Yarrowia lipolytica: one gene and its partners. The protein of the gene in region 1 interacts with the protein of each later gene in a pairwise test. Links are inferred from orthologs where the notes say so. Each region holds a gene or a part of one and is shown in the gene's direction. Other genes may lie near its edges. The genes, in order: YALI1_A20849g, YALI1_D14915g and YALI1_E23348g.

What was found.
Region 2: the proteins of YALI1_A20849g (region 1) and YALI1_D14915g interact in a protein complementation assay, tested with the Saccharomyces cerevisiae proteins (2 studies listed by BioGRID). The link is inferred for Yarrowia lipolytica from reciprocal best matches to the Saccharomyces cerevisiae genes LSM4 and GIS2.
Region 3: the proteins of YALI1_A20849g (region 1) and YALI1_E23348g interact in binary tests that used the Saccharomyces cerevisiae proteins (3 or more experiments, as listed by UniProt). The link is inferred for Yarrowia lipolytica from reciprocal best matches to the Saccharomyces cerevisiae genes LSM4 and PAT1.

What each region holds. Positions count from the first base shown.
Region 1 is NC_090770.1:2,083,846-2,086,668, reverse strand, and holds YALI1_A20849g (uncharacterized protein), read left to right. Parts: upstream 1-1,697; coding exon 1,698-1,700; intron 1,701-1,797; coding exon 1,798-2,184; downstream 2,185-2,823. Other genes in the region: YALI1_A20855g (uncharacterized protein), read right to left, coding at 1-1,233; YALI1_A20839g (uncharacterized protein), read left to right, coding at 2,618-2,727, 2,776-2,823. UniProt on the Saccharomyces cerevisiae protein: Component of LSm protein complexes, which are involved in RNA processing and may function in a chaperone-like manner. Component of the cytoplasmic LSM1-LSM7 complex which is involved in mRNA degradation by activating the decapping step.
Region 2 is NC_090773.1:1,489,606-1,492,895, forward strand, and holds YALI1_D14915g (uncharacterized protein), read left to right. Parts: upstream 1-1,937; coding exon 1,938-1,989; intron 1,990-2,101; coding exon 2,102-2,643; downstream 2,644-3,290. Other genes in the region: YALI1_D14910g (uncharacterized protein), read left to right, coding at 1,437-1,597, 1,656-1,920. UniProt on the Saccharomyces cerevisiae protein: May act in the sexual differentiation pathway.
Region 3 is NC_090774.1:2,332,789-2,337,960, forward strand, and holds YALI1_E23348g (uncharacterized protein), read left to right. Parts: upstream 1-2,042; coding exon 2,043-4,598; downstream 4,599-5,172. Other genes in the region: YALI1_E23325g (uncharacterized protein), read left to right, coding at 1-490. UniProt on the Saccharomyces cerevisiae protein: Activator of decapping that functions as a general and active mechanism of translational repression and required for P-body formation. First decay factor recruited to mRNA, at a time when the mRNA is still associated with translation factors.

The sequences.
Region 1 (2,823 bases):
ACCGTCGGCATTGACGATATCTGTCTTGACATTGAAGTCCATGAGGGCACGGGACACCTTTTTGGCACCTGAACGGGCGAGAATATGCAGGGCGGTGTCGCCCTCGTTGTTCTGCGTGTCCATGAATTGTGACAGTACGCCTAGAGAGTGGTTCTCGCTAATTTTTGACAGCAAGATAGTCACGTAGTACTTGGCCGCGGACTGCGACTTGCTCACGTGCTGGGCAATGTGGTGAAGCACGGTTCTGCCCTGGCCGTCCACCTGAAACAGGGTGTCTTGCAAGATGTCCACCACTTTAGGGAAGGTTCTTCGGTCGTAGTTGTTAGTAAACATGATGGCCCTCGTCAAAGGTGTCTGGCCAAACATGTTGGTGGCTCGCACGTCCGATCCGGCCTTGAGCAGCAGCTCAATCACCCGCAGGTGGCCCATGGCACAAGCCCAATGCAACGCTGTATGGCCCTCCTCGTCAATGGGTCTGTGCACATCAAACTCTGCAGGTGGGTTTTCCAGGAACGCGGGGATCTTCTCGTCGTCAGCAGACACGAAGTAGTTGAGCAGGTCGTTGGTGTACAGATCCTTGGGGTCCCGTACCTGTATTGGCTTGGGCTTGGCCATCATGGGTCGAGGGTAGTTACCCATTTGTCGGTCAACTTCTTCATCGGACATGAAGTCGGACGAATCGTCAGCAACTGTGGGAGGCGATGGAGTCACGTGGTCGCTGTCGTCCAGTCCGTAAGACTGGGCCAGTTGGCTGAGAGACGACTGTCTAGAGTGTTGTGGAGTGCCTCCCATGGTGGATCCCGTTGACTGGGTGAGAGTCTCCATGCGACTGGGCTGGCGAACCAGAGGCGATCCCGTCACCTTGGTCCGCTTCTTGCGCTCCAGATTGGGTCTGTGTTTCGGTGCGGGAGGAGGTGAGCCATCCTCGTCGTCGTAGTTGAAGATGGGCGCAAGGTGTGAATCAACGTCGTACAGCGTGGCAATCTCTCTGGCCCGCTCCAGGGGGACCCACGTGCCCTGGTACTTGCCGTAGCCGCCCTGGACCTTTTCATGGACGCCCTTCTGGACCTCCTTTTCCAGAATCCGCGTTCGCTGAGGCTTGTCGAAGCCAGCGACCTTGAGGATGTGGGTAGCGTTGACCCAGCCGTCGGATTTGCGCCGCATCACGGCCACATTCTTACACTGGAACTCGTAGACGGGCACGCCCGAATACGTTGCTTTGTAGATGGACATGGTCGCGTAGTGCGTCGTCGTGTCGCGTTGGCGCAATAATGGGTTTCGGGTTTCGAGTTACCCTATGTGCTGTTTTGGACAACGAGAAAAGCCGTATGTGGGCTGGGTGTGCAGTATCGTAGCGAGGGTAATTTGGAGTCCCAGCTGGGAGGGAGCCAGATCAGCGGTTAGAGATATATAAATATATACTTGTTTGGCAGTGACAGAATGAATGTCGTGGGTGTGAGGGTTGCTTTTTTTTTTCTCTATATAAATCTCGTATGGCCTGCCCCTGGCGCTCCGCCTTACTTCTATTATCGTCTTATCCCTGCGGCAATTCCCAATTGGTGTGCACCTGAGTCCTTACAGCTCAGGTTACGTAATAGTTCCCACCACAAGCACACACCTAAACCATCATCACCCAACCCTAGCCCCAAAATATGCTTTTTCACCGCCAGCACCAACTGTCACCATAATCCACATCGATGGTGAGTATTGATACAGGCGTCCTGGGGCTCACGTGGGCCCCTCTCGATGCGATACGCACCGGCCCAACCGTGGGCAGACAGACCATGACTAACGCAGCTACCCTTATCCCTACTCAACGCAGCACAGGGTCAGCCCATGCTGGTGGAGCTCAAATCGGGCGAGTCCCTGAGAGGCCACCTGTTGAAATGTGACCACTGGATGAACCTCACGCTCAAGGAGGTCGAAGAGTTTTCTGCATCGGGCGAAAACACCGCCACCGTGTCCGAGTACTATGTACGAGGCTCCAACATCAAGGCTCTCCAGCTGCCAGACGAGCTACTGCACAGCATCAAGCAACAATACAGCCAGCAGCGGGAACAGCGACAGCGACAGCAGCAGCTGGAGCAGGGCGGCCAGTTTGGCAACCGACGAGGCAACCGAAACTACAACAACCAGAGCAACAACCCCAACCAGCGACAGCGAGGTGGAGGACGACGATATTAGACGTGTTTGTGTCCATGTTTGAACGCGAGCGCTGGCTACCGAAGGCCACGACCTTCCCCGATCTGCAGATGGCTACCATGTGTGAAGTTCCGCTTGATAGCCGCCATTCTGCCGATTAGTAATGTATTTTAGGAGATGATTGATCTAGGGGATTGTAGGTGGAGATAGTAGTAGCTGTAGACGAGTGGCGGTGATGGAATTGAGTACAATCGGCTTACGTAGGGGGACAGGCTTTGTACGTACTTGGATGATTTGGTTGCTTTCTCTGTGTCGCCACAAGTTCTCATTCGAATGTAAGTGATCACGTGGACAGAACTGTACCAGTACAAGTACAGGTGCCCGTGGAAGTAGCTTCTGTTGAGAGTTCCATTCTATTTTACAAGTAGTAATTGGTGGTGCCTGACTAGCTATAGAAGGAAACTTATCGTGGAACATGTGTGTGATAAAAAAGTTGGATGTTGGATCCTCGTCGTCGTTGAAAGTCTTTGTAGATGCATTACAATGGTTACCTTCTACCATCATACAACACCAATACCGATTCTTGTACACTCAGTGAGTTTCGGAGCAGAATTCTGTAGCTATTTACTGCAGTCCATTATCGCCATATTTGTTAGTTGCTACAGTATTGTACATACTTGT
Region 2 (3,290 bases), on another chromosome or scaffold:
GGCTACAGATTTCGAAACGCTAAAAACCGCCTTCGTGGCCAAGTGGTAAGGCGCAGCACTAGTAATGCTGAGATCATCAGTTCAAATCTGGTCGAAGGCAAATATATTTTTTTTGGCTTCCCTTTTCACGAAGACACCAGTACCGGCGGTATGGACTGCGCCCACGCGACTTTTGCTGTATGTGGGTCAGGATTTTTCTAGCGTGGGTTGGTTTGGGAGTGTGAACTTTAGTTGAGGTTTTAACTAAATTTAACAACATGGGGGTGTTGGTATTAGTTTGTTGTAGGGGTAAAAACAGCTTGATTTCCTTTTATTTTTTTGTTCAATATATTTCTACAACTGTCAGAGACATGTAAATATACGTCTAATTACCATGGACTGCTTGCATCCGTTAGACAACCCCAACAGGCAGTTCTCTTAACTAAACTTCCAACAAAGTCAACTACTGTACTTGTACTAGACCACAACCTGTAGCACACCTACTCAAGAGTAACATAATATATTGGGGTTGCTAGTTTTTTTGAAGAAACCTATCAAACCATACCATGTGAGAGGATTCCCAGAAATCATTCAAACCACTCTCGTCCCCCGTAACCGTCCTGTACTTGTTATCGCCTCGTTGCTCCATCCATTTTACATCCAATAACCACCACGGTGCTTCCTAAACCTAGAAGTCCACCAAGGTGTGTAGTGTTATCCCAATATATAATCTGTCATCAGCAAACGACATGGTATACGATACACGGTGGACACCACGATACGGAGGCACACACAGACACGGACACAGACACAGATACAGACACGGGCATAGACGCAGACACAAACCGACGAGACACAGAGACACAAATACAGATAGTATGGACAACACGGACAAACGACATGGTGGTGGAGTACGGTCATTGCACAACACACCCAGTTACCAACACTCAGACACAGAAGACACGATGAAGACAATTCCCCAATGATGAGCGAATCATCTTTTGCTACGTCACCGGTGCTGTAATTTCCGACTATCTCGTTCTATCTCATCTTTCGACAACTCGGCGATACTCATCAAGATAATGCCAATGCTATCTATCCACTATCAGAGCTTCGGATAAAAGTCGCAAATAAGAGAATAACCCAGTTTCATCCCACAGTGCTCACCTCCCCTCCCTCCCTCACCCCACTTTGATACCAGGGGAATATAGTGATATCCTCATCTCTTTCAACGATTACTACAGTTCAAGTATGTACCAACGCGATACCAATATGCCGACATCGAAGCGCTCCTGATTGATCCCACACCGTCCACAATATCCCAGAGTACCAGCAAGTACCTCGGCTGTCCCTTGACCAACGACTAGACAAATGAACAATCCCTACCCCCAAGAACAGCTCGATAACCACACTACGATATTTTCCATCGATACCCAGACGTTTCTACAACTACCCAGATGGGGCATTGGACGTTCGTCTACAGGATTACCCACATCCACCCACCATACATGCTGTCGATGCGCTTAGTAAGTTTGATGTCTCTTGCATCACAAGATCATGTCATCAGCCGCACAGCCTGTACCTCCTCACTGATCTTCAGCTCTTCGATTAGGCTTCTGTAAATGCAGCTAAAAAGTCCCGAACCCAATTTTTCCTGATTCTTGTTAATGCCCCAGTGAATCCTGCAGGCTTAGATTGGATATTCATGAGCATGGTGAGAAAAACGTGTCTAAGTGGCGCTTTTCTTTGCGTCCTCAGGGGTCTTCACTCAAAGCATCTAACCACTCACACCACTCTTGTCCTCTTTCTGCAGCTCTCGCAGCCTCCTACACCCCGCAAGCCCATTTAGCCTTCACTTACCCTACAGTGCAGTGTGAGGCCCAAGGTTTGAAATTTTTTAGAGAAGCGAGTCTTGATTTCTTGACGACGTTTGTTGTGTGAAGACGAAGAAGAAGAAAATGGAAGGACAGGCCCAGCAATTCCGAGGATACTCTCGAACATGCTTCAACTGTGAGTGTTTTGATTTTGTGGTGACAATGAGCAGACCCACGTCATGTTGTCGGGTGATATCACCTGGAGATTATGTCACATGTGTTTTTTTTCAACTTTACTAACCATCCAGGCGGTGAATTCGGTCACCAGGTGCGAGCTTGCCCCCGTGTGGGCAACCCCGTTTGCTACAACTGTGGCAACGACGGCCACATGTCCCGAGACTGCACTGAGGAGCCCAAGGAGAAGGCTTGCTTCAAGTGCAACCAGCCCGGTCACATCCTCAAGGAGTGCCCCCAGAACGATGCCATTGTCCACGACGGTGCTGCCCCCGTTGCCCCCAACGGTGAGGCCCCCATTGGTGGCGAGTTTGGCGCTCCTCGAGGCCCCTCCGGTGTCTGCTACAAGTGTGGCAAGCCTGGCCACTTTGCCCGAGCTTGCCGAAGCGTCCCCGCCGGCGGTGCTCCTCCCAAATTTGGCCGAACCCAGTCTTGCTATTCTTGTGGCGGCCAGGGTCACCTGTCCAAGGACTGCACCGTTGGCCAGAAGTGCTACAACTGTGGCTCCATGGGCCATGTTTCCAAGGAGTGCGGCGAGGCCCAGAGCCGAGTGTGCTACAACTGCAAGAAGCCCGGCCACATTGCCATCAAGTGCGATGAGGTCCGAGCTGCTTAAGCAGAGTTATGTATTATAGATATGACTGATTGAAGTGTAATAGAGTAGGGGGTGTAGTCATCACCATCACGAGCGATAGCTGGTGGTGCGAGTGATGCGAGTGAGTGTCAGTGAGAAGCGTAGAATACTTGAAACCATGTACAACGATCCAAACCAGGCAACAATAATGAGATACAGAGACATGCGATTTGAAACCACGGGAAGCGTTCGAAGCCCGAGAGAACGGATTGGCCGAGGATCAAACAGATCAGAGATGCACGAGGTACGAATAGCCCTGATTTCTGTGTTACTAGTTGAGCACCACCTGGATGTGTGCGATGGGATGGGTTTCCCCTATTGCACATGGTGGTACTTGTATGTCCAGTTGGTACCGTTCGTGAGAAAGATGGGTCATGGTACACTACTTGTAGTCATAAATGGTTGGAACACATTCAAGCCAGTCTTTTGCTGATCAGGGATCAAGTCCTGGGGTGTCTGAGAAATTCTAAAGGCTTGAGCTCATGTTGTAGTATGATACAAGTACAGCAGCAACGAGGTATCGAACAGGGTATGATCTAAAACAAGTGACTAGACTGAAGTGAAGGCAGGGTTTACGTTTCAAAAGACGAATCTGAAGAACGAGTCCCTTGGCCTTCCTTTGCCAATAC
Region 3 (5,172 bases), on another chromosome or scaffold:
AGGCACCTTCTACGACCTCAAGACCGACAAGGTGGTGGTCAGCGTCCAGGGCACCCAGGTGGGACCCATCAAGGTCGACAGCGGCAAGACCGCGGCCCTGACCCACCAGTTCGAGACCAACCTCGATGCCAAGGTCTACCGAAACGTCATCCAGGTCTACATCCAGTACGGCAACGAGGTGTACCAGGTGCACGCCTTTGACGGCCCCGTGTCGATTGTCGACCCCTATGTTTCTCCTCTGTCTTTCAAGTTCCTGTTTGCCCAGATTGTGCTGGGAATCACCGCCGCTGCTCTGGGATACTACGTTGTTAACGTGTACGCCATCCCATACGCTACCGGCACCTACGGACAGGAGAAGAAGCCCGTTCGAGCCAAGCCTGTGGTTCCTGCTGGCTCCGGCGTCAAGACTGGACCCAAGGGCTACGATGAGAGCTGGATTCCCAAGCACCATCTCGACCAGGAGAAGGTCAAGGTGAAGAAGAGAAGTTAAGCTGAGCCATGACCAAGGTTTGCGTGACAGATTTTTTCTTTTCCAAGCACACCTGTTGGTGGCGGACGTTAATGGATTGTGACACTCGTGTTGTCTGCTGACATTGATAACTCCTGCTGTCAATAGGTGTGTCCTGGTTACTTACTTGTTGATGACACTAAATAGCTAATTTATGTTGTACGTATTGCAACAGTGAAGAGTTGCGCGGCGACTCCACCGAGCGTTTTCGGGGTTTCCGAGCAGAAAAATGGATCTATCGATACTATCCCGTATCTCCGACAACGTCTGGTTGTATATGAGACATTGTTAGTTGAATAAGATGTGGTCGTCATCTAGGAGCCTAATAATACAATATATCTGCCGTTTTGGTCGTTGGAAGGCGGGAGTATGTCGAGGGACTGGTAGCTGGTGTTGAGGAGATTGTTTTGGTCAACTGTTTGCTTGATTTGGTCAAGTTTTGGTGTTGTGGTTGGTTGGTGGTGGAGATAGAACCAGTCATGAGGTTGTTGGAGGCTTTAGATGGCGCAAGTGTCTGGAAGGAGGAGTTGATAGTATTGATTTTGTATTGGCTGATTAATTCCATTGACGGATGCTATAACAATGAGTAATCAAGTCCTGAGAGTCTCTTCTTAGTCATGGCATTGTTGTGTGGAGGGACAGATGGAGCTGCAACAGATATATTACTCAACATGTTGAAGATGTTGCCAAAGGTGCTCAGATGTCGCCAAAAGGTGCTTCAGATGTCGCCCAAAGGTGCTTCAGATGTCGAATGTTCCTCCTGTCCACATCTCTGACAATCTGCGATGTCTTATTCACCAGTTGTAACAGATGCGACATGAGAAAGTTCCTCTCTAGCACTCTCTAGGCTAGTTATTCCATATTGAACATCTTCCGACATGTTTTTGTCGATTCTGTCGATTCTGTCGGTTACTTCTTCTGGACTCACTCTAGAAGCTAAGTAAATGTCAACTCCATCTGTCCACATATTAACCAAAAAACGTCTTTCTGTACCCCATACTGTCAATATTATTACACATTTGTTAAAAAATGAGCCATTTCCTATCATTTAATCCACTTTCAGCGTTGCTCAGGTTCCTGTAACCCCGAAATAGCACCCCCAGCACACGTTTTTTCTCAATTGTTCTTTCAACTAAATCAAACTTGCATTATGTAATACAAAAAACACCACTCACTCATGGACTCGTCCGGGTAAGTCGTCTCCCAAATTTGCCAGAGCCACTCAAAGTTTGAGAGTTTATTTTGTATGACAGATCCGCCATGGAAATCTAGCCAGTCAGTATAAACAGGTAACCGAAGGATTTTTTGCGCCGTTAAAGAAATTTATTGGGTATTTTTGCCACTCTCTCGAACCTCCAATTTCTCCTCTCTCGCTATCTCTTCTCAATCGCCCAACAAAGGCACCCTTCTTTCCACATCCTCCTACCCCCCCTCCTACCCTAACCCAAAATCGCACCGTAGTAGTGTCCTCTTGTCACCTCTACACATCTCAGTACACTACACCGACACCAAGACTCTCGACTCTCTCTTCGACATGTCTTTCTTCGGTATCGCACAGCCCAATCAGGGCAACGTGCAGGAGTACGAATTCGACGACACGTACGACGACAATCTTGGCGGACAGCTGGATGAGTCTGGCGACGCCTTCAACGACGAGACGTTTGGCGGCGAGGCGTCTGTGGGCCGGGATTTCGACTTCCACGGCGAAACGGCCAAAATCTCGTACGCCATTGACGAGGACCAGGTTGCCTACGAACGCCGGGCGCCTCAGCACGCCCAGATGCAGCACCAGCAGCAGCAGCATCAGCAGCGACAAGCTCCCCCTTCTCTGCAGCCCATGGCGTCTCTGTGGGGCGCTCCCGACCAGAAGGAGCGAATCATGGGCGACGAGGCCCAGCACGGCGGCCAGCAGGCCCAGCAGGCTCACCTGCAGCAGCAGCAGCACTACCAGCATGTTGCTGCCCAGCAGGGCGGTCAGCAGCCTCTGTCTCTGGAGCAGATTGAGGCGCAGCTGATGGGTCGACAGGCCCAGGCCCAGGGCCAGCAGCAGCAGCAGCAGCAACACGGTGTGCCTCCCCAGGGTCACGCTCCTCCTCAGGGCCACTTTCCTCCCGGGTACGGCTACCAGGGCTTCCCTCCTGGTTACCCTCCTCCCCAGGGACACCCCATGCAGTACCAGCAGCCCTGGCAGTTCCCTCCCCTGCCCAACCATGATCTCAACATGCAGATGATGATGCACTACCAGCAGCAGCAGCAGCAGCAGCAGGGACAGGGACAGTTCCAGCAGCCTCAGTTCCAGGGACAATCTCAGGGTCAGCCCCAGGTTCAGGTTCAGCAGCAGCAGCAGCAGCAGCAGCAGCCCCAGGCTCAGACTCAGGGTCAGCCCCCCGCTGTCGCTTCTCAGCCTGCTTCTCAGCAGCAAGCTGCCCCTCCTACCGCGCCCCTGGGCCCCAAGGAGGACAAGGCCATCCCTACCGCTCCTCAGGGCTTCCAGGGCCCTCCCCACTCGGGTCCCTACGGCTACCAGCCCGGCCCCGTGCACGTATCGCCCAACCACACGATCCCTCCCATGGATGAGAACGCGCGACTGGCCAAGCGAAATGAGATGATCAGCAAGCGAAAGCCACACAACAATCTCATGACCGGCGGTGACAAGGACTTTGTGCTGCGAGTCCAGCTCCAGCAGATGGTCACCGAGGACCCTTACAACGAGGACTTTTACTACCAGGTGCACTCGGCCATCAACGTGCGATCCAACCCCAACCAGCCGCTCGACGCCTTTGCGCGAACGTACCTGTACCAGCGGGGTCAGCGGGGCCGACGGGCCCGCGGCAACGAGAACGGCCTGCAACGTCTGCAGCAGCAGGTCCACAAGGCCGTGCAGTTTGTCAAGGACCACCCCAAGAAGGACTCCATTATCTCCCAGGGTGCTCTCGGTAAGATTCACCTTGGCAGCAACAAGGGTCCTCGACAGGCTCTCGACCTGCGAAAACGAGATGATACTCCCGACGCCGACAACTCTACTGAGGCTCCTACTGAGGGAGTTTCTGCCACCCCCGAACTTCGATCTGCTACCCCCGTGGCCACCACCACCACCACCACCGATGCCATTCGATCCATCACCACGTCAATCTCCAAGTTCAACCTTCAGGGCGGCTCGTACGTGTCTGCTAACGACAAGCGAGGTATTCTGCGGGCCATTGAGAACGTGTACATTGTGCTGCTACGTCTGGAGGCTGCAGAGAGAACCCAGCCCGAAGACGACCTGTCCGACGAGTTCCAGGTGTGGAAGGGAGAAAAAGACGCGCTGGTGACCCAGCTGTGGCGTGAGCTGCAGATTACTGCGCCCATCGACCAGGCCGACGGCTCGCTGCACCCCTTCATTGCCATGCTCTCGCATGCCAAGTGCAAGAAGGCCATTCCCCGAGTTTTCCGGCATATTTCTGCCGAGCAGCGGCTCACCATTCTGACCATGATCATGGCCCACATTGGCGATTTGGACGTGGTCAAGAATGGCCACTACAGCGGCGAGGAGTCGAACCTGCCCGCCAAGTCGCGGGAGGCCATTGAGGTCTTCTCTCAGACCGTCCTTCCTCCTCTGGTGCAGTACATTTCTGAGGCCGAGTACGGCGTCATTGTGGGTCTGCTGGAGTTGATGATGGATCGAAATGACACTGCTGCTGTTGTCAAGACCAAGGTTGGATCTGCATTTGTGACTGTTTTGATTTCCCGGGCCGAGCTGATCAACCAGGAGGGCTCTGTTTCTGCCGAAGATGAGGAGACCTGGAACCGCATTTTCAACCGTGTTTTCGGCATTGTTCAGCGCAACAATCTCAACTCCCTGTTCCCTCCTCGAAATGTGGACGATTCTTACGTGTGGCAGTTCCTGGCGTCCATCGCCTTGGCTGCGAAGATTGATCACCAACGTGTTATGGTTGACGATGTGCGGGACAAGATCTTTGGTACTATGAACGAGGCCAAGGCTCTTCCGCCAGATCTGTCGCAGCAGAAGATTAACAATCTGAACCTGTTCCTTAACGTCATGGGTCTCAATGCGACCACTTCGGAGATTGGTGAGTTGCAGGGGTGATTAGATGAGGGAGCAGTGGTTATGTAAAATAGGATTTTTGAGAAAAAGATGATTTGACCGTTTGACCGTGGTGAGCGTGTTAGATAGATAGGAGACGAGACTGCGTAGGGGCTCAGTGGAAAAGTTCATGATAGACATTGTGGAAGTGGTAGTACAACTAGACGGCGGCACGAAGGTACCGGACTGGCGTGGGAACTGGTTGGGAACCGGGGTCCCGAACTCAAGACTCTTCCAGTCTAGATTCAGAGTCGTCAACCAGGCTTCGAAGATATCCATTAGGGAGCATTTTGAAGAGTGCTGACATGGTATTGGCCTTTGATCTAGCGAAACATCTTTGGGCAAGGTCCATGAAGAGCACTGATGGTTACGCTCCAGGTCGACGGATGATGGCTACGGGACCCAGGATGCTCTGGTATGAGCACGAGGAAAAGGGAGCAGCAACTTCTGAGGTGTTTTGTCAACTTCTTGAGGTTTGTCAACTTTGAGAGTGTTTGTCAACTTCTGAGGTGTTTGGTCAACTTCTGAGCTCTGGAATCAGCAGCTTCATCCGTCATCTTCTCCAAGTCGCACGGTG